4 linked regions of the Xenopus tropicalis genome follow. The protein of the gene in region 3 interacts with the protein of the main gene of each other region in a pairwise test. Links are inferred from orthologs where the notes say so. Each region holds a gene or a part of one and is shown on either strand. Other genes may lie near its edges. The genes, in order: tbc1d22b, nek6, hsd17b14 and phf1.

Evidence for each region.
Region 1: the proteins of hsd17b14 (region 3) and tbc1d22b interact in binary tests that used the Homo sapiens proteins (3 or more experiments, as listed by UniProt). The link is inferred for Xenopus tropicalis from reciprocal best matches to the Homo sapiens genes HSD17B14 and TBC1D22B.
Region 2: the proteins of hsd17b14 (region 3) and nek6 interact in binary tests that used the Homo sapiens proteins (3 or more experiments, as listed by UniProt). The two-hybrid records come from large-scale screens. The link is inferred for Xenopus tropicalis from reciprocal best matches to the Homo sapiens genes HSD17B14 and NEK6.
Region 4: the proteins of hsd17b14 (region 3) and phf1 interact in binary tests that used the Homo sapiens proteins (3 or more experiments, as listed by UniProt). The two-hybrid records come from large-scale screens. The link is inferred for Xenopus tropicalis from reciprocal best matches to the Homo sapiens genes HSD17B14 and PHF1.

Annotation. Positions count from the first base shown.
Region 1 is NC_030678.2:65,165,858-65,172,428, reverse strand, and holds the start of tbc1d22b (TBC1 domain family member 22B), read left to right. Parts: upstream 1-2,972; 5' UTR 2,973-3,184; coding exon 3,185-3,237; intron 3,238-4,047; coding exon 4,048-4,104; intron 4,105-4,219; coding exon 4,220-4,524; intron 4,525-6,571. UniProt on the Homo sapiens protein: May act as a GTPase-activating protein for Rab family protein(s).
Region 2 is NC_030684.2:29,183,391-29,189,298, forward strand, and holds part of nek6 (serine/threonine-protein kinase Nek6), read right to left. Parts: intron 4,011-5,908; coding exon 3,900-4,010; intron 2,819-3,899; coding exon 2,710-2,818; intron 1-2,709. UniProt on the Homo sapiens protein: Protein kinase which plays an important role in mitotic cell cycle progression. Required for chromosome segregation at metaphase-anaphase transition, robust mitotic spindle formation and cytokinesis.
Region 3 is NC_030683.2:114,400,363-114,406,270, forward strand, and holds part of hsd17b14 (17-beta-hydroxysteroid dehydrogenase 14), read right to left. Parts: intron 5,856-5,908; coding exon 5,758-5,855; intron 4,083-5,757; coding exon 4,016-4,082; intron 3,130-4,015; coding exon 3,038-3,129; intron 1,097-3,037; coding exon 992-1,096; intron 863-991; coding exon 795-862; intron 1-794. UniProt on the Homo sapiens protein: Catalyzes the NAD(+)-dependent oxidation of L-fucose, yielding L-fucono-1,5-lactone, which rapidly converts spontaneously to L-fucone-1,4-lactone. Can also act on D-arabinose and L-galactose, with lower catalytic efficiency. Does not use NADPH.
Region 4 is NC_030684.2:71,980,119-71,986,026, reverse strand, and holds part of phf1 (PHD finger protein 1), read left to right. Parts: intron 1-517; coding exon 518-586; intron 587-1,581; coding exon 1,582-1,705; intron 1,706-2,448; coding exon 2,449-2,516; intron 2,517-2,723; coding exon 2,724-2,864; intron 2,865-2,987; coding exon 2,988-3,102; intron 3,103-5,908. UniProt on the Homo sapiens protein: Polycomb group (PcG) that specifically binds histone H3 trimethylated at 'Lys-36' (H3K36me3) and recruits the PRC2 complex. Involved in DNA damage response and is recruited at double-strand breaks (DSBs).

The sequences.
Region 1 (6,571 bases), on a different chromosome or scaffold from region 3:
TGCAAATGTGTAAAGGCACTCACCGCCGCCACTGAGTCTCCATCCAGGCGCGCGGCGAGTGCAACTGAAACGCAGGTGTCATTTGCGTTCCAGCGTGCGCACGCGCAATGACACCACGGCTGACGTCATGACGCTCGTTACATAGGCGGGAGCTTTAAAAAGACTTTGGAAATAATCCACAGTGCTCTGTTATCGCTTCTAGTGTGCCCAGTGTTACTTCTTGTTGAAACTTCTGTTATTTGACCTTCTGCCTGAACTTCCCGCTTGTGAACCTTGCTGCCAGCCCTGACCCGGACCCGTTTTGACTACGCCTTTGCTTACTCCTCGGTACTTCGCTATTTGGCCTTCCAGCCTCTCTCCACTGCTGTGCTTCCTGTCTCACTCTCAGGTTAAGCCTCCAGCCTAGTGTGAGGTGCTTGTGAGTGGCAATCTCATCGGACTCACCTGGCTTGACACAAATGTATCGTACAAAGCAGAAAGACATGGGTAAAAGTTTGGTGCAAGTCCTATAGTGGAATTATTTTGCAGGTCAGGTAAGGAGAAAGTAGGTTTTATTGAGTATATATCGCTTTCTGTAAAGTATCTCATGTTCTGGCTCTGTCTCCCCCATTGATTGCTAGTTGTGTGTCAGTTCTGCTTCTAAACCTTCCCTATAAGTCTCTAAATATAAACATTTATTAACCATCATAAATATCTATAAAATGAGGCTGGCCAGCTATGTTAACACTCTCATATAACCCACAGAGTGGGTTTTTGGCATTTTAAAGTTAGCTTGGATGATCACATAAGTGACTTTGCATCTACATGTTTTAAAATAGATTTATATCAAGTGCTGACATTTAAAGGACATTTACCCCCTATTAAGTGTTATTTAGGAAAAAAAACTCTACTTGCTAAAAAAAAAGTTGCTGAGTGTTATAAAAAAAACCAATAAATTGGCTAATTTGAGGGCCCTCTGTCTGAAATGTGTAGCTATGTTTTTTTATGGGTACCTAGGTGGGATTGTTGGCCACAAATGTTCTAAACGCAATGTAATTTAATATTATTTATTTTACTTTTAAGAATGTAAAATTCCCACCTGGAATTCACTTCCTTTTGGTATTTACAGTTCAAATAAAAAGGGAAGACACAATACATATATATTTATAAATACTGATTTGGGGGAGCCTAAGGAAATTGTATGGCTAAGGTGCAGACTATGCAATGTGATTAATTCTGCTCTCAGTGAATTGTATTTGCAAATATGTATGTATTACCCCTGGTTATTTACTATGAGGCCACCCAAGTTTGGTGTATTAGATAATTAGGCTAATGACACACCATGTGTATGGTGTATATTTTTGGCAAGCATTGCCGGTGCAGGCACAGGTAGGAGCGTATGGCGCAAAATTTCGGCAAGCGTTTTTTAGCTTGCCAAAAATATACACCATACGCATGGTGTGGCATTAGCCTTAATGTTGGTGATATTGTTATTCTAGCCAAGCCTTACTAAAATATATAGCTCTGTATTTAGGATTAGTTTTTCCACAACTGTGTTTAAAACCCATGATGAAATGTTTTACACTGACACTATTTTATTTATTTCCTTCCCATAAAATATCTGTATTATTTTACCTGCTGCCTAAAATACCATTGGCAAGGGCTAAACCTTTCTAAGTACTTAATATGGGGATTGAACCAGAGGCCCCAAGCTTAACAAGACTGGGGCATAAGGATAGAACTTTTCTTACCAAAATAGGGGAGGACCAGCAATGTTTTAGGGGGCCCTGGGCCGGCTAGCAATGTTTTAGGGCAGGGGTGTCAAACTCAATCACATAAGGGGGCCAAAATCTAAAACAAAGGCTAAGTCTCGGGCCAAATTTTTTATTAATATACTTAGTAAGATAGATAGGAGTATATTTATCACAATGTGTAAAAAGTGGAGTAAGACATTACCGGTGATGTTGCTCCTAGCAGCCAATAGAAGCTTTGCTACTGTTGAAATCTGATTACTGATTGGATGCCTTGGGCAACATTACTGGAAATGCTTCACTACACTTTTTACACAGCATGATAAATATACCCCTTAGTTTTAGTTACTATGTGAGGAAAATGGAAATTGATCAGGCTGGATGGTCAGACACACTCACCAAGGGCCACATAAAACAGCCAGGTGGGCCGGATTTGGCCCCCGGGCCTTGTGTTTGACATATATGTTTTAGGGGGTCCCTGGCTACCAATGTTATAGGGGGCCCTGGCTACCAGTGTCTGTGTGTCCTTTCTACTGATGGGACTGCATACAGCTCTGGTGATTTTCTGAGTTTTGAATTGTTTTGAAATGGGTATTAGAGATGCTGAGGGTCAATATGTAGCATGGGATGCTTGTACTTCACTGAGTCTGTCATGATATACAGGTGGCACAGTGCGTAATTAAATCCTTAGGGCCACAATATGTCATAAAATGATTGGGGTCACAGTGTCTGTCTTCTGATGCACTTTGTGTATGTTATACTTTTCAGGTGTGGTTTTGTAAAATAGGCCTGTTTTGGAGTGTGGCCATAAAGTAAGCATGGGCTGAAAAATATGAAAAACATATTCTTGTCCCTCCTTCTACTTTTCAAATGTTGGGAGGTATGAAATATTGTATAAACACAAACAAATAGGAAAAGCTATTTTTTCCAGAAAATGTGGCAACTGTAACGATGCACCATATATGATTTCTCCAATTTAAAATAAAAAAAACTCAAAAAATCTGATCAACTTTGCACCAAGTTAACAGGTCTAAAATGATCTGCCATACAAAGTCCTCTCACCTCCTCTTTTTCTTACATAAACTACAAAACACAATTCTACTACATTAATACATACCGCCTGAATTAAAGTTACATAATAACCAAATCTAGAGAAAAAAAAAAACACTCTTCCGCTGCAACGGCAAAAAAAATGAATTCTACAACCTAGCGCAGAGAGTACTAAGATGGCGAAACCAAACACTTCCGGTTGATTTCCTATGAGCGCTCCATGCTAAAAACGTCACCTGAGCACCGTAGCCTCGTAGCATCGCTAACGTTCATTGGCTTCAATTGGATGATACTGTAAAATCCGCCAATTAGGAATCTCTACCCGCCCGGTTCCGTTATGGTGGAAGCGGATCCCCGGAGCGGGTGAGCACACCCTACAAAACGAAATACAGTGGACTTGCAGGATGTCAGAGAATAACCGACAGTTCTGGAAAAGGAGTACAAAGCTTCCGGGAAGGTAACAACTTAAGGCGATCATGAAAGGGAGTGTGCTTGAGGAGTTTCATAGAAAAACTTGGACAGCTTTGACTTGTAGGAAGAACGAAGAGACCAGAACATTTGAGTAGTGTGTGTTTGTGTATATGAGTTGATTTATTGAAAGTAGGAGTGGATTCGGAAAGATCAAGGAATGGGAAATTACAGTCTCCTTGTGAAAATGGCATTATGTTTAATTAAAAGATATACGTGCTAAGATGCGGGCTTGTCCAATTATTATTGGGGTTAATATGTACATGTGAGGGTTTGAGTTTATTTAATTTGACAGTAGTGACTAAGTATGCCTTTTAATGAGGCCCAGTTTACTGACAATGGATTGTTGCCGGAAACTTGAGGGAAGAACAAGGATTTCTTGATCAATGCTGGCACCTTAGGGACTGTGCACAATTCCGTTTGGTCTCATACTATTTGTCACAATGCATAATACCTTTTAGTGCATATATACAGTAAAGAGTCAAAATCGCCTTTGCAAACGTTGTATGTTTATATTGTTTAATTACACAATAATATACAACAACAATAGACATTTTTTATGTTTTGTGGGATAATGAAATCTTGACAGCCATTTATTCTATATTAAGATCATCATGTGTAATGTAATTTGCAGGAATTCAAGTAAAAATTGAGATCTTTGTTATGAAAAGGACAGAAAGCTATAAGTTGTAAGGAGCTGATATATAGGGATTTCTGGGGGTCTTTGTTTACTCATTGTTTTTATTCCGGTTTTATATGCAATGATCTTATTTTGTCAATACCTTTATCCTTTTCTCAGTATTCAACCAGTGTATGGGGCCCAGCACCCACCTTTAGACCCTCGTCTCAATAAAAGGTATACAATGTTTTGGCTAAATTTCTGTTCATATTTTTATAATGGATATTAATACCTTATCTATGCCAACAATTTAAACTTTTGTTTGTTACCCTTATTTACAATTTTTTGGCAGTTATATTTCTGATCGTTCAAGGCGACAACCACTTCATTTGAAAAGCAGAAAAGCATCTAGTTTTCATGAGTTTGCAAGAAATACTAGTGATGCCTGGGATATTGAGGATGATGATGATGCTGATGATGATGATGGAGGAGGAGATGTCCTGTATGCTTCACCCTATCAGACTCTTAACTCCAGGGTTGCTGAAGTGACAGCTGCACAAGTTATAGAGAGCCACCTCAAGCTACGGGAGGAGTCCCCTTGCCAACCTTCTGTTACAAAATCTGTCAGTGAAGATCATCTCCACAGGGTCACTGCAGGTGCGCTACTATAGTGTCAGGAGTATATTTTTTGGTTGCAAAGCATTTTTTACAGGTTCAATTTATTACATAGTGCTAAATTTTACCTTAACTCCAATACTTTTTATGATAATATAAAAACATATTGCTGAAGTTGAGATGGAGAGCCCTTACTAAGGGCTCTGGCACACAGGGAGATTAGTCGCTCGCGACAAATCTACCCGTTTGCGGGCGACTAATCTCCCCGCGTTGCCATTCCACGCGAGGCATTTTCGATGATTTGCCGAAATTGCGCTGCAGCGTCTGCCATCCCACCGACGACTTACATTGTCGCCGATGGGATAGCATGGGATGGCAGACGCGGCGGCACGATTTCGGCAAATCATCGAAAATGCCTCGCGAGGCAACTTCGGCGATTTGCCGAAATCGCCTGCGCAGCTTGTGCCATCCCACCGGCGACTTACATTGTCGTCGGTGGGATGGCAATTCGAGGAGATTAGTCACCCGCGAACAGGGAGATTTGTCGTGGGCGACTAATCTCCCCGTGTGCCAGAGCCCTTAACAGTTATTACATATAAGATGCATCAAGGAAGATTCATCTAAATGATTACCTAATCGGTCAGTGTCAAAGCAAACATTTTGTTTCTTTTGTATGTATATAAGCTGTATGTGTAAGGGTGAACTTTAATTTCCAGCAGATAATAAAATAAAATACCAGTGCTCAAAGTTCAAGGGAAAGAGAGAAAAAAGAAATATATACAGTTCAGTAATTATAATTGATATTTATACACCACCCAATAAGTACGCACATTAATTCAGGGGTCCTCAAACTTTTTAAACGGGGCCAGTTCAAGTTCCCTCAGACTGTTGGGGGGCCGGACTATAGTTTGGAAAAAAAATATCAACGAATTCCCATGCACACTGCACATATCTTATTTGTAGAGCAAAAAAGCAGGGAGAAACACTGATACGGCATACAGTGATGTCTGTGTTCTGCTGTGCCCCAGTGCAGGGGTAGAGCAGAACACAACATGGGTAACGGGTAACTATCCTATTTTCATTAAAAATACAAAATCTGTTGCAAATATCCTGTTAATGACTTTATACAGTCAGGGTAGGCAGTTCTTATTGCTTAGATCAGTATCACTTCATCTGCCACTCACAATACTAAAAATACATAATGGATAACTATGTGAAGTCATTTGAAACATCTCAGGGTAATTTTCATTTTGTTTTTCCCAACACTGCAACTTCATGAAAATTAATATTTCAGTACAGATTTACAGCAGATATAATGACATATTCTTAACTGCCAAAGTTATTGTTCTGCCATGAATTTCTCTCTGCAAGGCTGATGGCACACGGGATTACTGTAGCTGCTTGGTATATTAGCCAACGATTGCTTCAGTGAACAAGTCACAGCGTTGGCGTGTAACGCGGTGACTCGCTGGGGAAGAACACCAACACAGGTACTAATTAGGGAGGAAGTAGTGAAGACGGGGGGCCAGGTGAATGGACGGGGGGCCAGGTGAATGGCCGCGGAGGGCTGCATCCGGCCCGGGGGCTGTAGTTTGAGGACTGCTGCATTAATGGATGTGAATATGCTTTTTATGCCAATCTTACAAAATTTCCCAAAATATTCAGAGAGTTCAAGTTCAGTACCTACATGTAACTTGTAAAATATGTGTTAAAATGCATAGTTATAAAAACTGTAAAATAACCATTGAAGAAGCTCATAGTAATGACGTAGTGTTGACTTAGTAATAAAACCGTAACATCAGTTAAGTTGAAAAAAGACACACTTTCATCAACCTTAATGCCTATATATAACCTTCCTAACTGTTAGTTGATGCAGAGGAAGGCAAAAAACCCATATGAAGCCTCTCTAATTTGCCACAAAGGGGAAAAAAATTCTTTTGTGACTCCGCAATGGCAATAGTACCAGTTCCTGGATCAACTTGTAGTAAGAGCTATCGCCCATAACCCTGTATTTCCTCACTTGCTAAAAAGTCATCCAACCCTTTCTTAAAGTGGACCTGTCACCCAGACATAAAAAGATGTATAATAA
Region 2 (5,908 bases), on a different chromosome or scaffold from region 3:
ATATTCTGCCTGCCCTATACTGCCTGTGTGTGCCATACTCAGCCTGCCCTATGCTGCCCGTGTGTGCCATACTCTGCCTGCCCTATGCTGCCTGTGTGTGCCATACTCTGCCTGCCCTATGCTGCCTGTGTGTGCCATAGTCAGCCTGCCCTATGCTGCCTGTGTGTGCCATGCTCTGTCTGCTCTATGTTGCCTGTGTGTGCCATACACACAGGCAGCATAGGGCAGGCAGTACATACAGTGACACAATGCTGGCACTGATCTTACAGTCTGTCTGAGGTGTGAACAGGAGAACAATGTGGGGCTTACAGTCTGAGCCTGAGGGGTGAACAATGCAGAAACTAAAAGGTGTGAACAACACAGGGGTTTCCTTGTTTAAACAGTACCTTCCTATGTCTACCCCTAGCTCCAGCCCTACATTTAATGAATATGCAAATTAGGGTTCACATTAAGTCAAATGTTTTGTGGAGAATTTAACAATTAGTCAAATCTAAAAATGTTGTATTCCATGCATCTCTGGTTATGTGTATAAATGTTCCCACATAATGCATGTCTGCAAGGGCAATAACATGGCAAACAAATCCTACATAAGAGAATATTTTGTGCCTGAAGCTCTGTATTTCCACAGCTTAGTGAGTAAGCAGGTAAATCAGGTTATCACGGTAGATATCCCAGTGAGAAGCAAACATAACAGTAAATATCTGCAAATGGATATTACTTTTCAGGAAATCTGCAGGATGGCAAAACTGATTCAAAATAGATGGAGGTCTGCAAATCTGAACATTGCATATCTGAGGTCCATTGACATTCAGATGTCCTAATCTTTCCCTCTCACACAGCGCTGGACTTATATGAAGAGCTTGTAGTTTAACCAAAACAGAGCATATTCCCAGGAAGTTCCATGTCCCAGCGCCCCAAACGCTACATGCATCCCAACTCTGATCGATGTCTTTGTATTTCACCCTTCATTTCTGTGATGTGCAAAGACTTTAGAAAAGAATCAAAACACATCATCCTCTGACAGTTTCATCAGGCGCAATCATCAGAGGCATCAAAGGCCGGATAAAACAAGAAAAAAAAAATGTTCAGAGGTAACAGGATGAGCAGCAAGGAAAAAAGCTGCAGGGGAAAGAAAATATACGGAAAACAGGAGTTTGTTAACCCACTGAGGTGAGACAAGTAATGTCCTGAAGACTTTGGCTTCTACGGAGAATGCACAAACAGAAACAATCGCTGTGATTTCCCCCCATCACGCTATCATTCATTATTCTTGCAACTGAAATATAGTATCCGATATATAAAGATACTAACATTAAGGCATCTAAGTTGCCATAAATAACCAGATAAATGTTACATTGTCATACTTTAGGGTTAATGCCAGTCACAGACTAGCAATCTGTGCAGGGCCGTTTTAATAAATGGACCTTCTAGGATAACTCTTGCCAGAAGCATCCTACAGAGATGGCAGACACCTCATTTTATTCAACTGAAAAAGCTCTGTAGTATGGTTATTTAATTTCATTGTCTCTTTTGAGGCATCACCATTCTGTCATTTGTCTGCCCCCATGGTTGTTGGTCCCTAGTGGCACACCATGGGACCATGTCTACTTCAGTAAGCGCAGAGCATTTTTTTACTTCCTGCCTTATTATATTGAACTTTACAAGTTTAAGGGGTTATTCTATTACAAATTTATTGGTGCAGTGGGGGCCCACCAATGAAATTTTGCCCTGAGAAAACCGGTACCTTAAAGCAGCCCTGAATCTGCGGGTCCTGGCAAATGCAAGAGAGGCTGCTGAAAGATGCCTTAGACAGTCACTATTTGTTGGATTGGTGGGGGTTGTTTGGGCCTCTGTGTACTTGTAGTGCCAGGGCCTATTCTGAATCTTAGTTCCCAAAGGAAATGTTGAAAATGTCATGCCAGGGGCGTTCCTGCCATGACACAAGGTGAGAACCTTGCCTCAGGTGGCAGCGCCCCTGAGGTTTAAAAAAGGGAAAAAGCTGTACTTTCCCGTAATTTCCAGTTATTGAACCAGCTCTTCTAGTGCAGAGAGCGCAATTGCACTGTCTGTACTAGCAATGCTGCCCCACCCCAGACCCACTTTGTAGCCAGTAAGGTAAGCACTGTGGCGTGGGGGGGGACAGATTTGAAAGAGCTGCCTCAGGGTGGCTTAGGGGCTAGAATCGTCCCTGGGTCTTCCTACTTTCGGGTCAATGCCAGGCCTAGACTGGCAATCTGTAGGTTCTTGCAAATGCCAGAGAGGCTGCTAAAAGATGCCTTAGTCAACCAGTGGCTTGTGAGCAACATGTGGCTCATCAACCCCTTGGATGTTGTTCCCAGTGGCCTCAAAGCAAGTGCTTATTTTTGAATTTCTGGTAAGGAGGCAAATTTTGGTTCCATAAAAACCCAGTATAATTCCATATAGAGCCTTCTGTAGGCTGCCAGTCCACATAGGGGCTATTAAATAGCCAATTGTAGCTCTTATTGGCACCCCCAGGAACTTTATTCACGCTTGTGTTGCTCCCCAACACTTTTTACATTTAATTGTGGCTCACGTGTATAAAAGGTTGGGGATCCCTGCCTTAGACAGTCACTATTTGACAGCTGTCTGGCTGTCTGTGTACGGTGCCGGGACCTATTTTGGATCTCAGTCTGGGCCTGGTTAATGCTCCTTTAACTTTAGGTAAATGTTTACATGAGCTTGGCTTACCTCTGTGCATGATTCTACGGGAATGCATGTGTTCCACAGCGCTGCATAACTGCACAAAGTATTTCCACACTGTCCTCTCTGGAATTAACCTCTTCTGCTTTTTAAAGTACTGGAACAGAGACACAAAATGATATTTGGGTTGAGAAACAGAAAGCAAGAATAATGAAAGGATCCAGACAGGCACAAGTTAAGGTTAACAGCAAGATTACAGACAAAGCATGCGATTAAAGGTGGCCAACACATGCATGTATATCTGGCAGAAAATAGGCCAGATGTTGATCGGACAGGTTTAAAAATCCCATCAGGGTGAGAAGTGCATCAACGTGTTCATGTGGTTCTCATCCTGACCCCCTGCATCCCATCAATGTGATTCAAACGCCTGTCTCTCAACTCAAGGGGGAAATATTGGTGAAAGATTTGCACATTTGACAACCTCGTCAAAAATACGGACACCCCCATTTAATAGACTACAAACTCTTTGCTGCTCAAATGCAGGCTGGGTATTTTGCACACTATTTTGGAGTGAGTTTCTCCTTCAGATGTGAGTAACAAAACTAGGTCTGACATGTGGATTCTAATGAGCATCTAGTCTTAATTACCTTGCACAACATATTTAGCCCTCAGACCCACAAACTGGAACAAATGGAGCTTTAGCCTCAAGCAGATCCTCCTGTTCATTATTTTTATTTTAATAAAATAGTTGAGCAAAACTATCGTTAACTGCTTGCAGTATGTTCTATAATGTAATGATAGAAACAATTATGATTTTTGTTATTTATGCAAAAAAGTAAGGAGGTTAAAAATATGATCTGATCACTGGCTTGATGGCCAATAAGATAAGCCCAATTTGGCCTAGCACACGGGTAGCTAAATGGGGCAAAGATCCATTTGTTTGGCGAAGCTTTTTTATTTTTTCTAATATTTCTGAATTTATCAAAGTTTAGCTTTTCAATTGTTCATGCCTATTATCTATTAGCTTAGCCAAAAGGAACCATCTGAAGCTATGACCAATTTCTGCACAGCCAAAGACAGTTGTTTCCCAACTACAGTTATTTTATCCACAGCACTTTCCAAAATAAGTTAGCATATGATCTCCCACCTCCATAGATACACAAGGAATATTTGCACTTTGCTTCTTAAGTAGCTGTGTTTTTAGGTAACTTTGTCTGTAATGTGGTGACACTTCTTACTTTAATCATCTGGGAGAGGTCTCCGGCATCTGCAAGCTCCAGAACAATGTTCAACTCATTGTCTTCAATAAAGGAATCCAAATACTTGATCACATTTGGATGGTTCAGTTGCTGTCAACAAAAGATTATAAAAAAAAAAATTAATAAACAACACATTATTCTGTTAATAGACTTCAAGGGCTATGGCAAATAGAAACTACTGTCTGCCAGTGTTCGTAGAGAAACGGCCCATATTTTCCCACAATGTCCCATTCGTTTCAGTAAAACACATTGGCACCTATATTTATCACATTTCAATTTTTTTAAGAAAGAAAGAAGAAAACTTACTAAACTTACATGTGCGCTAATATTTTTAGTAAAAAACTTAAATCTAAAAAAAAACTTGATCGATTAAAACTTAAATAAAACTTGAATGTGCTGAATTCATATGCTGCTCATCATTATCAATTGGTCTACCACCTCCTAGACAAATTTTAAAAACCTGAATTGAAAAGAAATCGCTTACATTTTGAATTTAAGTTTTGGAAACTGTAATTCGAATTCAGGAGTTTAAGCACAAAGAAATTGAAATTTCAAAACAATTTTGAATGTTGATAAATCAGCATAATAAATAGCCACCACTTAGCTCATACCAATGCCACAGATATATAAAATATAACTAAAATAACAAACCTTCAGGGTTTCCTTAAAACAGGGGTCCCCAACACTCAGATGTAAAAAGACTTGGAGAGCAACAGAAGCGTCATGAAAGTTCATGGAGGTGCCAAATAAGGGCTGTGATTGGCTATTAGGTAGCCTCTATGCACACTATCAGCTTACAAGGGGCTTTATTTGGTAGTAAATCTTGTTTTTATTCAACGAAAACTTGCCCCCAAGTCAGGGATTCAAAAATAACTACCAGGTTTGGGGGTTCTGAGAGCAACATCCAAGGGGTTGGTGAGCAACATGTTGCCCCTGAGCCACTGGTTGGGGATCACTGCCTTAATAAATAACCACAAAAGCATTTGCAATTGTGACTAGGGGGGTCTCATCACACCCTTAAACAACATCAACTGAATTAAGCATTCCCCAGAAATTGGAAACCCCCAGCTAGGAACCTTTGTATCAGATATACTTGTTTTTTGGTTAACACAGAGGAGAAAACCATTAGGTATTTATATATAACCACACCATGGCAGGCCCCTAGTACTGACCAGTTATGGCCATGGGTACAGTCCTATCTGGACTTGGCTATGGTCAGCAATCATCTGGAAGAGCATATCAAGTGGAGAAAGATGGCACCCACCAACCCTGCTACACTATTCTGATTTTTTCTCAATAGTTTCTCAAATCGTGTCTTTGTGGAACAAAAAGAAAAAGAAAGTGCTGCTTTTGCCAAGTACACATAAAAACTATTGAATAAAGGGAAAAATAACATTTATAGGTATGGGACCCGTTATCCAGAATGCTTGGGACCTGGGGTTTTCCAGATAAGGGATCTTTCCATAATTTGGATCTCCATAACTTAAGTATGCTAAAAATCATTTAAATATTGAATAAACCCAATAGGATTGTTTTGCTTCCAATAAGGATTAATTATATCTTAGCTGGGATCAAGTACAGGTACTGTTTTATTATTACAGAGAAAAGGGAATCATTTAACCATTAAATAAACCCAATAGGGCTGTTCTGCCCCCAATAAGGGGTAATTATATCTTAGTTGGGATCAAGTACAGGTACTGTTTTATTATTATAGAGAAAAGGGAATCATTTAACCATTAAATAAACCCAATAGGGCTGTTCTGCCCCAATAAGGGGTAATTATATCTTAGTTGGGATCAAGTACAGGTACTGTTTTATTATTACAGAGAAAAGGGAATCATTTAACCATTAAATAAACCCAATAGGGCTGTTCTGCCCCCAATAAGGGGTAATTATATCTTAGTTGGGATCGAGTACAAGGTACTGTTTTATTATTACAGAGAAAAGGGAATCATTTAACCATTAAATAAACCCAATAGGGCTGTTCT
Region 3 (5,908 bases):
CTAGCTGGATACTAGCCCCACCAGGCCACTAGCTGGATACTAGCCCCACCAGGCCACTAGCCTGGATACTAGTCCCACCAGGCCACTAGCCTGGATACTAGCCCCACCAGGCCACTAGCCCGGATACTAGCCCCACCAGGCCACTAGCTGGATACTAGCCCCACCAGGCCACTAGCTGGATACTAGCCCCACAAGGCCACTAGCCCGGATACTAGCCCCACCAGGCCACTAGCTGGATACTAGCCCCACCAGGCCACTAGCCTGGATACTAGCCCCACCAGGCCACTAGCTGGATACTAGCCCCACCAGGCCACTAGCTGGATACTAGCCCCACCAGGCCACTAGCTGGATACTAGCCCCACCAGGCCACTAGCTGGATACTAGCCCCACCAGGCCACTAGCTGGATACTAGCCCCACCAGGCCACTAGCCCAGATACTAGCCCCACCAGGCCACTAGCTGGATACTAGACCCACCAGGCCACTAGCTGGATACTAGCCCCACCAGGCCACTAGCCCGGATACTAGCCCCACCAGGCCACTAGCTGGATACTAGCCCCACCAGGCCACTAGCCCGGATACTAGCCCCACCAGGCTGAGCCTGATACTTACACACCAGGCACACAAACTATGCAATTCTCTCAGGTATATCCTTACAAAAAGCCTTGCTCTGAATCCTATGGCACATGTGTTGGAGCAGTAATATCCCTCAGTGTGCACCCACCCAGGGACACTACTACTTGGTTATTCCATGAACAACAAAGGTATCAATGCATGCTCATTGTGCAGAGGTTACCTGTTAATTCTCACATTGTGCCGACTCTCATCCACCGCCATTGCCTTTGTCATTGCTGTGACTGCACCCTGTACATATATAAATCCAGGTAAGCATCAGTCAAGGGAACAGTATTGGTTCAATTTAATTGTCACGCTACAGCTTCCAGCATCCATAAAGGAGAACCCACTCTTACAAGATGGCAGGAGAAGACATACCTTTGTGGCCACGTAAGGGATAGCGTGTTTCTGACCAATGATACCAACCAGGCTGGATATATTGATGATGTTCCCTTGTGTTTTCCTCAGGTGCGGCAGAGCATACTGAAACACATCAAGAGCCATTTTTAAGGAAGAACAGATGAAAGGATTTCCTGCACATGAAAGAAAACTTGCATAAAAGTACATTAATGGATATTATTATTATTATTATTATGCAGTCACCTTGTAGGTTATATAGTAAGGTGATTAAGGGTTTGCCCCACCCCAGTAGCAGCCAATCAAGCATAAGCTTTTTATGGTCTTGTAAAATTAGGCAAACATTAATATGTACAGCCAGGATAAACTCCAGGGTATCAGGGGCTAAAATACCCTGACTCTAATTATAGTCTATATTGAGCAGCAAATAGTAACGTATAAGAGGCGTAAAAGCAAATATGCAGGTCTGTTCTGTGAAATGAAATGCAAACTCAAGAGTGAGTAAATATGGTAAATATGGAGTAAGTAAATATATCTTAGGTTTAACAAGCTAATATGTGACTGGAGTTTGCCCGATCTCTGTTGTATATTAACAGACCAAAGCTGATGTGCATCTAAGGCCTATAGTGCGGAGAAGGCTAAAAAAAAATAATCAGCATCTCTTCAAAAAGCAATAGCTTACAGGGAGCAAGGAGATGCACTTCTCAATCTCAATCCAAGTCATGCCAATCACAGCCCTTATTTGGCAACACCCTGCAAATTCCTTATGTTTGTGTGGCTCGTCATCACTTTTACATCTGAGTGTGGCTTATGAGTAAAAAAGGTTGAGGGTCCCTGTGTTAAAGAAAGGGTGATGTGGGAAAAAAGCAATGGAGAAGACAGTAGTTGACAGTAGTTGCAATGTCACACAGGGAGATTAGTCGCCCATGGTTAAATCTTGGCTACCATGGGCAACAAATCTCCCCATGGGCAATAAAGTAAATCGCCGGTGGGGTGCATATGTGGTGCTTCATCTCCACCCTGCACTGGAAACTTCAGAAAAAAAAGCGTCTTCCCACCAGCGATTCTCTTTATTGCTGGCGGAAAGGCATTTTAGGGGATTAGTTGCCCGCAGTAGCAGAGATTTAACCGTGGGCAACTAATCTCCCTGTGTGCCATTGCAATAAAAAAGTAAATGTGAACAATAAAGCCCAATATTATCATGTTCACTATTCAGCAAATATTGATTGGAATGCAGTGCAGTTTATGATGTGATCAAATATATCCGATATTGTTCATTCTTACAGTATACTGTATAAGTACAAGGTTGCTCTTCTCTATTTAAACTGTAATAAAATAAAAAGTTTTAATGTTGTACATGGAAAGTGTCTCTTTCTTCTCTTTTTAAAAAATACTACCCACTATGCTTATTATACAGATATCCTAAACTCATTGCTCTTACACAATATTTCCTGGCTACAGTTGCTGTCCATATTTTCTATAAAATGTTTTTAAAAAGCCATTGGGTGCTACATTTTTCCATAGATGACAACCCCAGGGGCTGACATACACTGGTTTCCAGGGCAGATTATGGTAAGAAACTATAACATACACAAGTTCTTTGAGACCATGTTGAGTAGAAATGTGGGGTTCTGAACCTCCATTGTCAGACTGCTGTGTTGCTGTGCTCTCAAAGTATACTGGGGAATACTCCATTTGGTGCAAAAGTGCATATCCCCCCCAACTATTCTATTGATATATTATATACATAATGTTGTGTAACCTGGTCTAACAGAAAACCCTTTGTGCACGACAAGAACCACAATATGCTGTAGCAGGCCATGGGGCTGATTAACAGGGATAAGCGCTAAATTGCACAAGTGGAAACCAATTACATTTCTGCTTTCATTTTCTAACTGGTGGCAAACTAACTGGTTGTTGTGGGGAAATGAGTTGTGCAGCTTGGCACCTATGTTAGTAAATGGGCCCTCGTGCCTATTAACTTTTTGACATTAAATAACAGATAAACAGGTGAGGATAAACGTGTGCTATTGTGCCCATTGGGAAACCAAGAGTGCAACCCCTTACCTTTGCAGTAAGAAAGTAGCCAATCAGATTCAGATTAAGAAGGTCACGGAAATCATCAGCGCTGGTGCCATCTATTGTCTGTTCTGGTGGATCTACAATGAAACAGACATGAGTAACAGAGAGTACCAACTGTTCCGCGGGTTCTTTTTTCCCTTTTAATCACCCAAGAGGCACAGGAAAATCCGCACCTGAGTGGCAGAACGTTTCCCTGTCCATCAAAAGAAATAAAAGGAGCTTTCATTTGGGTGATTTGTCTTAAGAGGAGTCTTAAACCCGAGCTTTACTGCCGTGCTGTTTTATGTTCCTAGTGCTTTTTACAAGGTGCAGTTTGAATACACTTAGGGAAGTAAAGAATGTCTTTGTTCTTGGATTATGGTTCCAGTAAAGTTTATAGAGATCAGTAAGGTTTAATTATATAAAAGTCCCTTTTGGGTAAGTTAAACCCATACCTGCAGTAATAAAAATGATAATAACTGTATAAGGTTTTAAAAACCTGTAAAAAGACATAAATAGCAGTGCCAGGCCTAGGTGTTATAGCACCCAAGGCAAATGGTACCCCCCCTCAGTACATTATAACCCTTCTTTTTCCCCACATCGTCTCCCATACATTGGGTGTTATATCCCCAAACCCTTTATTCTTTTTCTCTGACTTTTCACTCCCCCCCTTTATCTCCTCCTACATTTACTTTCAGTGTTTCTATTCTCTTCTTTCACGCACTACACTCCCTTTATGCAACTCTCCCCTCCTTTATTCTTTGCACAATCAACCCCCTGTGCCCCCATCTCTTCCCCTCTCTCCTTGTGCAATTGTGCCACCTTTCTCTCCTCCTATTAAAGCTATAGCAGCCATTTAGACTCATGGAAATTAGGCAACATAATTGTTTGTTATTAGGTCAAGGCAAGTTTATATCATGTTCAGGATCCCTTAAGTGCCCAAATGAAAGGCTGGGTGAGCAGATTTAGAGTATTAGTACTTACGCCATCCTGCATTATTGATCAGACAGTCAATTTGTCCATAGTTCATCACAGTAATCTCAATCAGCTTCTGTTTAAAATAAGAAAAGTAAACAGAGAAATATAAGTTGTGCTGGCCAACTCAGCCCTTTTGGCTAACGCCCCATGGAGAGATTAGTCACTCTTGATAATCTCTGCTACCGCAGGCGGCTAATCTCTCTGAAGTGGCTTTCCACAAGCAACAAAGAGAATCCCCAGTGGAAAGGTCTATGTGTTGCTTTGTTTCTCCAAAGCCTATGCGATTCTCTTTGTTGCAGGTGGAAAAGCATTTCGGAGACTAATCTCTCGGTGGGGCATTAGCCTTACATGAACCCCATACAGAATATAGGCTGCAGGGATGTTTTCAGATGGCCCATTGTTGGCTGGAAGAAGGCAATGTTATGTGTGCCCAGTTTAAAAACAGTGTTTGATCACAGTGGGGGCCAATTTGATTACTTAGGAGTTTAGACCCTGGGCTGACAGTGGGCCAAGGGTACAGTTCTAGGGAGCACCCTGCCGCCATCTTGCTTCCTGCTGCCCTGGGCTGGGCACGTGTGCAGCAGCGTAGACATGATTAACCCTTTCCACTATTGGCACATGGGGCCTGACACTGCTCTTATAGGCTGGTCTTGTCCATTAGCCCATCAGTTCCATCAATGTAGCACCACGCACTGCCAAAAAACCCACTGTAGTTGATAAAAGGTTTTGATGCCTCAGAGTCAATGTTTGAAGAGGGTGGGGTTTAGTTATGGACATCTTTAATATAAAATACATCTCAGATTCAAACATTAGCCAACACCTAGATCCTTTCCTATCCATGCCCACTGGTACCCACTATTCAACCCACACCCCATTCAATCTCATGTAAACCCCATCCCTTTCCCAACCCACATTTCACTACTCTTCCAAGAAGACAGCAAGAGTTGAAATGCAGACATTCTAGACATTGTCGAATTCAGACAGGCAGCATGGTGGTGCAACAGCCCAGTCCTGGGATGAATCCCAGCCAGGACACTATCTGCAAGGAATTTGTATACTCTCCCTGTGCTTGTGTGGGGTTCTGACACTATTGCCCTCCCCTTAATTTGGATTTTGATTCCAGAAAAGGTGGCAACCCTTTTCTGGTTTCTTCCGACACTCTGAAAACATACAGGCCGGCTCATTTGCTCCTGCTGCCGCCGCACTGTTTCATGAGTCAGAACCAGAGAACAGAAAGGGATAAACCAATGCTGCTTTCGACTGCAAAAACAGACATAACATGGGAAATGTTTCCTGACCGCATATTGGAAAGTTGCTTAGAATGACATATTTTGTCATTATGCAACAAAAAAAGAGGTTTTGGGTAGAGATCACAGACACTTCAGCTTACGGTCAGTACAAAGCCAATCTGATTACTTCTATATTTTTGAATGAGAAGCTGAGACCTCAGGGCCATATTGAAACCAACCTACTCTGGGCAGACGTTGCATAGGCTTTGCCACAAGAGGGAAGTCTGGTCACATGGATCTTAAAGGGACAGTTCACACAGTTGCACAATTAAGAATTTAAAAGAATATCTTTTTCTACATAAACTTAAATGTAATTCAAAGGAAAACAACCCCTTTTAATCAACCTTGACATAGGCAAGAGTGTCCCTTTGTGCAAGTTGTGCTCTATAGATATCCGCCTGTCCATCCAGCTGTGCCCTTTCCTATTCTGTTTCACACCCCGAATAAAGGCTTTCATACCTTAATATCTTCTTCTTTTGTGACATCACAACAAACATATATACAGTCTCCTGGCCCCGCTGCCTTTATCTCATTCTCCAGAGCTTTGGCCTCTGTATCTACAAAAGGGAAAAATACCAAGCAGACTTTCTTGTAGTTCATTTAGCTCTCA
Region 4 (5,908 bases), on a different chromosome or scaffold from region 3:
AAAGGGGAATTATCATCAAATTATTTAATACACATACCATCTATCTGAAATAAGAAATTTTTGGAAAATCTGGCCCCAAATCCTGCATTAAGAGAGAATAAAGAGAGACTGTTTGCTAAAAGAGGAGTAGTGAAGAGTAACTTGATTATTTCTGAAACAGTACAAAATGTTTAATTTAAATAGTTTCTAATTTCCATGAGAGGAAGTGTATATAAAACTTCAATCTGCATGATAGTTCCCCTACAGAGGCCCAGTGTTAAAAGAAACTTTATAGCTCTTCCAAAATCCTTTTAATTTGACAATATATTTAGGGATTCTGGGAGTAGTGGCACATAAAAATCTAGGGACACAATGTTTAGAAAGTCTAAAACCATGTTAATTTGGAACCATGTCTACTGTATTCTATGACTGCAAAACTTATTTCTGTGTTGTCCATCCATTTAGTTTAGTCACTTAACTTTCTGTTCAGCACTCGCAATATTACAGTTTCCTTTCCACTTTTTCCTTAAACATTTAGGTTTTATGTTTTTGAGTGTTCCGTCTGTACAAGAGGTCCAGAAAACGCTTGGAGACTTCCCCTTGCATGGTAAGTTATATATATCTATATCCTTAAACAGATTCTTGATATGCCTTTGTTTAGCTTAGGTTGGGGACAGTGTGTCTTGTCTTTTTCACATGCTCCTTATGTTTATTCGGCAGCATTTGGTACCCTATGTTGCAGATGAATAAATCTAAGCACCTTGATCAATTAAGGGGCTGTAGTAATTGCAAGCTGCAGTTTACTACATAGTAGAACTAAGACTATAGATTTTGGAGTGTGCCCTCATCTAAAGGTATGCATGGGTGATCTATAACATATAAACAAACAAACACCCCCGAGGGGGTATATTTGACGAGACCATTGCAACACTTTTTTTTCCACGATGTGCTGTTGCCAGCACTATTGCAAGTGCTACTCTGTATTTGGCATTCATATATACTGGACTCATTTTAGAACAGAAACTATTGAAGCTTCGCACACACGAATGATTGTAACACATTCATTCGTATAAACACATCATTCCTGGGATAAAAGTCTATACATTATTACTATTTCCGGGACATAACTTTTGTACAATTGTTGCTTGTCAGTTAATGGGCAGAATATCATTTAATTTGTTATTTTTTCAACTTTAATCCTACAATTTAAATCTGAATGTTAGTTTTAGATTGTTGCATTAAAACATACGATCGATATCCAAAAGTTCGTCTTACAACAAATAAAATCTGAATGTGTAGAGTAACAATAAAAAAGATGTGTACAGAGCAATAGGTTTTTGGCTGCCGGGGTAAGTGACCCCCATTTGAAGACCAATTGCAGAATTGCTAGAAGTAGGACATTCTTTATCATAGTAAAAGTTAATGCAAAGGTGAATAACCCTTTTAAGATCCATCAGTATCAAACAATTCAAGTTTAATTCTAACCCCACTCTTCATCATACTTGTATGAATTTTCCTTTGTCCATTTCTGCTTTTACACATATTTCTGTCCCCCGTGTCACACTGTTGATTGGTTAAATTGTTTATTTTCTTTATATACAGGGTTGATGTTTCACATCTTGTCTTGTATCATCTCAGTATTTGTTGTAAGAAGAAATATTTTGACTTTGAGCGTGAAATTCTTTCCTTTGTTAATGAAAATTGGGACAGTTTACTTTTAGGAGAGGTAAGTAGCAGTGCCAAAATTATGATGCAGCAGTTATGGTTTTAACAGAGTCCCAAGCAAAGCATCACTGTTACTGGTTATGTCAATGCACTGTTTTAAAGCATCAGCCATCTCTCCCCCACATGGCCCAAATTAGAAATGGTCTCTCCGCAATCGTAAGAGCATTTCATGTAGCTCCCACTACTCTGGTTTTTAAGTCACATATCTCACCCACCCTCTTCTTACCACTCCCTAATGGCAGTGCATTTCACCTCCTTCAATTTGCGTTCCACCAGTCCAGTAATTTCTATATACTGATCTCTCCCTTTGGTTTTTTAGTTTGCATGGATTTGATGCCATTGTAAATACTATTGTATTTACTTTCTACTTGGTTTGGAAAGTATTGTGGTTAATTGATTCATAGCAGCATTGGGTTATTTTTGCACTGTACTAAACAATTTATATTGGCATTAAATTATCTAGCAGGAAGTTGGCAATACAACATGCTACTTTCCCTTGTGTGTAACAACTGAAATGAATAGCATTTGACTTTCACTGTGCACAAGGTGAAGAAAACAGCATGTGTGGCATAGCCCAAAGGGGAACTTCAGCTTCCCAAGTTTGTGTTTTCATTAAAGTGCTTTGACCACTCATTATCAGAAGAAATAATATATATTTATGCAGACTAGGACTCTGGGATAATTTTGTTATATAGTGCTAGGTTTCTATGATGATCCTTATTTCTTTTTTTATGTTTGACTCAGCTGACAGACACTCCTCGTTCTGAACGATATTCTCACCTTCTTCACGCCCTTACAGCCCAGAAGGATAGGTAAGAAGCCTATCTTTTGACTGAAGTGGGTCCTTTAATGTAGTTTTATTACTTCATTTGCCTGTTAACAACACTGGTAATACATTTTTTGAATGTAGACTTCGGTAATGTATAAATAACTACCATGTTATGTATAGACATACTAAATTTAATAATATAGGAATGAATATGTGATTTTTGTAGTTTTCAGACTTTGTTTTCCTTCAGGTTTATTTCTGGAAAGGAAATAAAAAAAAAGAAGTGTCTGTTTGGCCTACAGACCCGTGTCCCACCTCCTGCCCCACAAAGCACAGAATCTCAGCTAAGGCAGCAAGAATCTAAGGATAGAACTTCCACTCCATGTGTAAGGTGAGGAACCTTAATTTTGCACACACAAAGTATTAATGCATTTCAAAGCCCACTTTATATATCATACTGCATTGCTTGTCTTCCTTCCCCTCCCCAGCGAGCGGATATAAAGATCTCTTGCAGTTCCCTTGTAGGGAGGATGGGGATCACGAGACGCCCCACACACAGGAAGAGGACCCAGAGCATAGAGAAGCAGACAGGAAGGGAGAGGCAGAAGCTGTGCAAAGCTCTTACCCAGGTAATAGGATTTTTTTTATATAACAATATAATCATATTTAGATATTGAACCTGTAGATTTTGGCCTAATAGAGGCCAATGTTATCCTGCAAATACAATAGATTTGAAGAACTGTTTTGGGATGCTAGCAATGTATTTTTTATGTATTACTATTATTATGTATCCATTTATTCCTGCTTTACAGTGCTGTGTATAGTAGTACTATATAAATACAATATACATACATACATACATACAATAACACTTAAAGATCTATGACCCGTACAAAAGGACTGGTTCTTTTATTTATCATGGAAGTTTTTTGACTTCTAACATTGTTATATTTTATACTGTTGTTCCCTATATATTTTAACTTTTCTCTCACAGCTACTTGGGGGACACAGGAATTGTGGGGTATAGCTTCTACCACTAGGTGGCAGTACACTAGTAAAAAAAAGTCCTCTCCCTCAACAGCTATACTCCTCAACACAGGAGGTATGGACAATCACAATGATTTTTTTCTGCAATTCTGGACTGGCCAGGACTCCAAGGGATGTTCCTGCATAACTACCTAGGTAGGATGTCTCCAGGCTTCCCCTCTGCTGAATCTCCCTTCCAGGGCCATAAGTCACAATACTGGCCACTTAGTGTTGCCTGCACTTATCCACAGTAGCAGATAGCAGCTGGAAGAAGGGTAAGCATGCCTCTACACGGAACACTCGCCTCCACTGGTGCCTTGTTTCCTAGACACTTGCTGTCCATGCCACATACTTTGTTTTGTGAGATGTTCACAACTAGAAGCTTCCATACCAATCGTGGTGCAGGCACCAGTGACTGCAACCAGGTGTCCTGCCGCCCCACTCCTTGCTGCTCCTTTCCTCATTGTGCACAAGTTCAAATTTCCCTTGGCATTGTTTTCCCCTCCTTGGCTTATGCACAGGGAGATATGCCCACCCCCTTCTCCTACCTGTCTGCAGGAGGCAGGACACAACTACAACTGTCTCTCCACTACTTCTACTGGGCTTGATGGCTGAGGGGGGTTGGTGAGGGCTTTATACCCTGTGTAAATTTTGGCCTGCGCCATGTGCTTCAAAATATTGTCTGCAAGGCATAGGGGCCCTCTCATTGCTTTGTGCAACCCCGCTGAGGGCCCATTCTGCGGGGGCAACCAGTCAGAGCAACATAAACCTCTTCTCAGCTGGCACTTGTGGAGGGCAGCTGAGGTTGTTTCAGGGACTATTGCTTGCTCATTCTCAGGATTCATGGGTTTCTTCCTAAAACACCTCCCGGAGTTTGCAAACCTCACACTTCACCATTTCTTGGTGTCTCAGTTACCCAAAGAACCCATTTGCACAAGGTTTCAAGGTAATACAAGATATGCTGAAGTCTTCCATCATCACTCCAGTTCGGATATGTTCATGGTCCCTAAATAAGACAGTTCTCTTCATCCTGTCTTAGACCCCAAACACTTGAATAAATTCATTAGGCCTGCAAATTCAAGATTGAGTCTCTCCGCTCAGTCATTGTGGCCATGGGCCAAAATGAGTTCCTGGTGCAACTGGATATCAAGCAAAGCTATCTTCATGTCCCCATTTTCCACCCCCATCATTGATTCATGCTCTTTGTCTTCCAAAATCGACACTTCTAGTTAACATTTTCTGCCCTTCGAGGGGCCTTGGTCCTCCAGGTCCTCACCAAACTGATGAGAGAGCTCCAGGTTTTGTTTTTGTTGTACTTTTCCAGGAACATCTGGCCCTCTAGCCAGATGTCACAACCTTCATTAAAGGTGCTGCTCATGTGGCTTCACCCTTCAAGTTTTTGTGCCCCCCCCTTGGGACTTTAACCTGGTGCTGAGGGCTCTCTAGGACTCTCCATTTGAATGTCTTGCTTCTGTTTTCCTGCCTTGACTCACATGGATAATAGTAGCAATTTCCTCAACAAGACGAGTATCCAAACTCAGTCGACCTTTTTGCTGGTCTCAGTTTCTTATTTTCCATCTTGACAAGACATTTCCCCATACAGTTCCTTCCTTAATAAATCCCACATAAATCAAGAGATAAAGTCATTCTAGTCACTAACTTGTTACTTCAGGCTAGGGCTACACTTTTTCAAAAAATCCACCAACCTCATGAACTGCCTGCGTTTTGCTAAGACTTACACAAAAGCGCATGCGCAGTAGAGTAAAAAGCCGACTTCTCTGTTAAAGTTCGGCTTTTCACTCTACTGTGCATGCGCACACAGCGCTACAGGAAGGAGGAAGCGCTGGCAGCTACCCCGGGCTGGTGCTGTTCTCTCTGAACAGGGGCACCAGCCCGGGGTAAAAGGTAGGCTATTGAAGTCACTTGGGGGTGCCTAACATTTTGGCACCCCCAAGTGACTTTGCCTTTCCTTCTCCTTTAAGGGCACTATTGAGACAACTGAAGGTATGCCTGCAGCTTGAGATTAAATCTCAAGGAAAAATTCTTTGGTACCCATGCATACACTAAACTAAATGTAACACCCAGCGGAGGGGAAGAAGATTTGTGGTGCAATGCTTCAAATGAAGTACACTGGGCTGGTGCATTTTTGATACGAAGGAACACCAGCATTTAGAATCACTGAGAGGTGCCTAATGACTTGGACTTAATTTTACCTTTGACGTAAACCCAAAAATTAAGCATCAGATATACATTAGTTATTTTCCAGCAGTTTAAACGTTATTTGTAAAAGTAATTGCAGTTCTCTCTGACTATTGAAACAATGTATCAGAAGCCAACTGATAACAACTGTAAAGAACATAACTTAAAAACTACTAAAATCTTTCATTAAAATGCAGATTAAAAGTTACT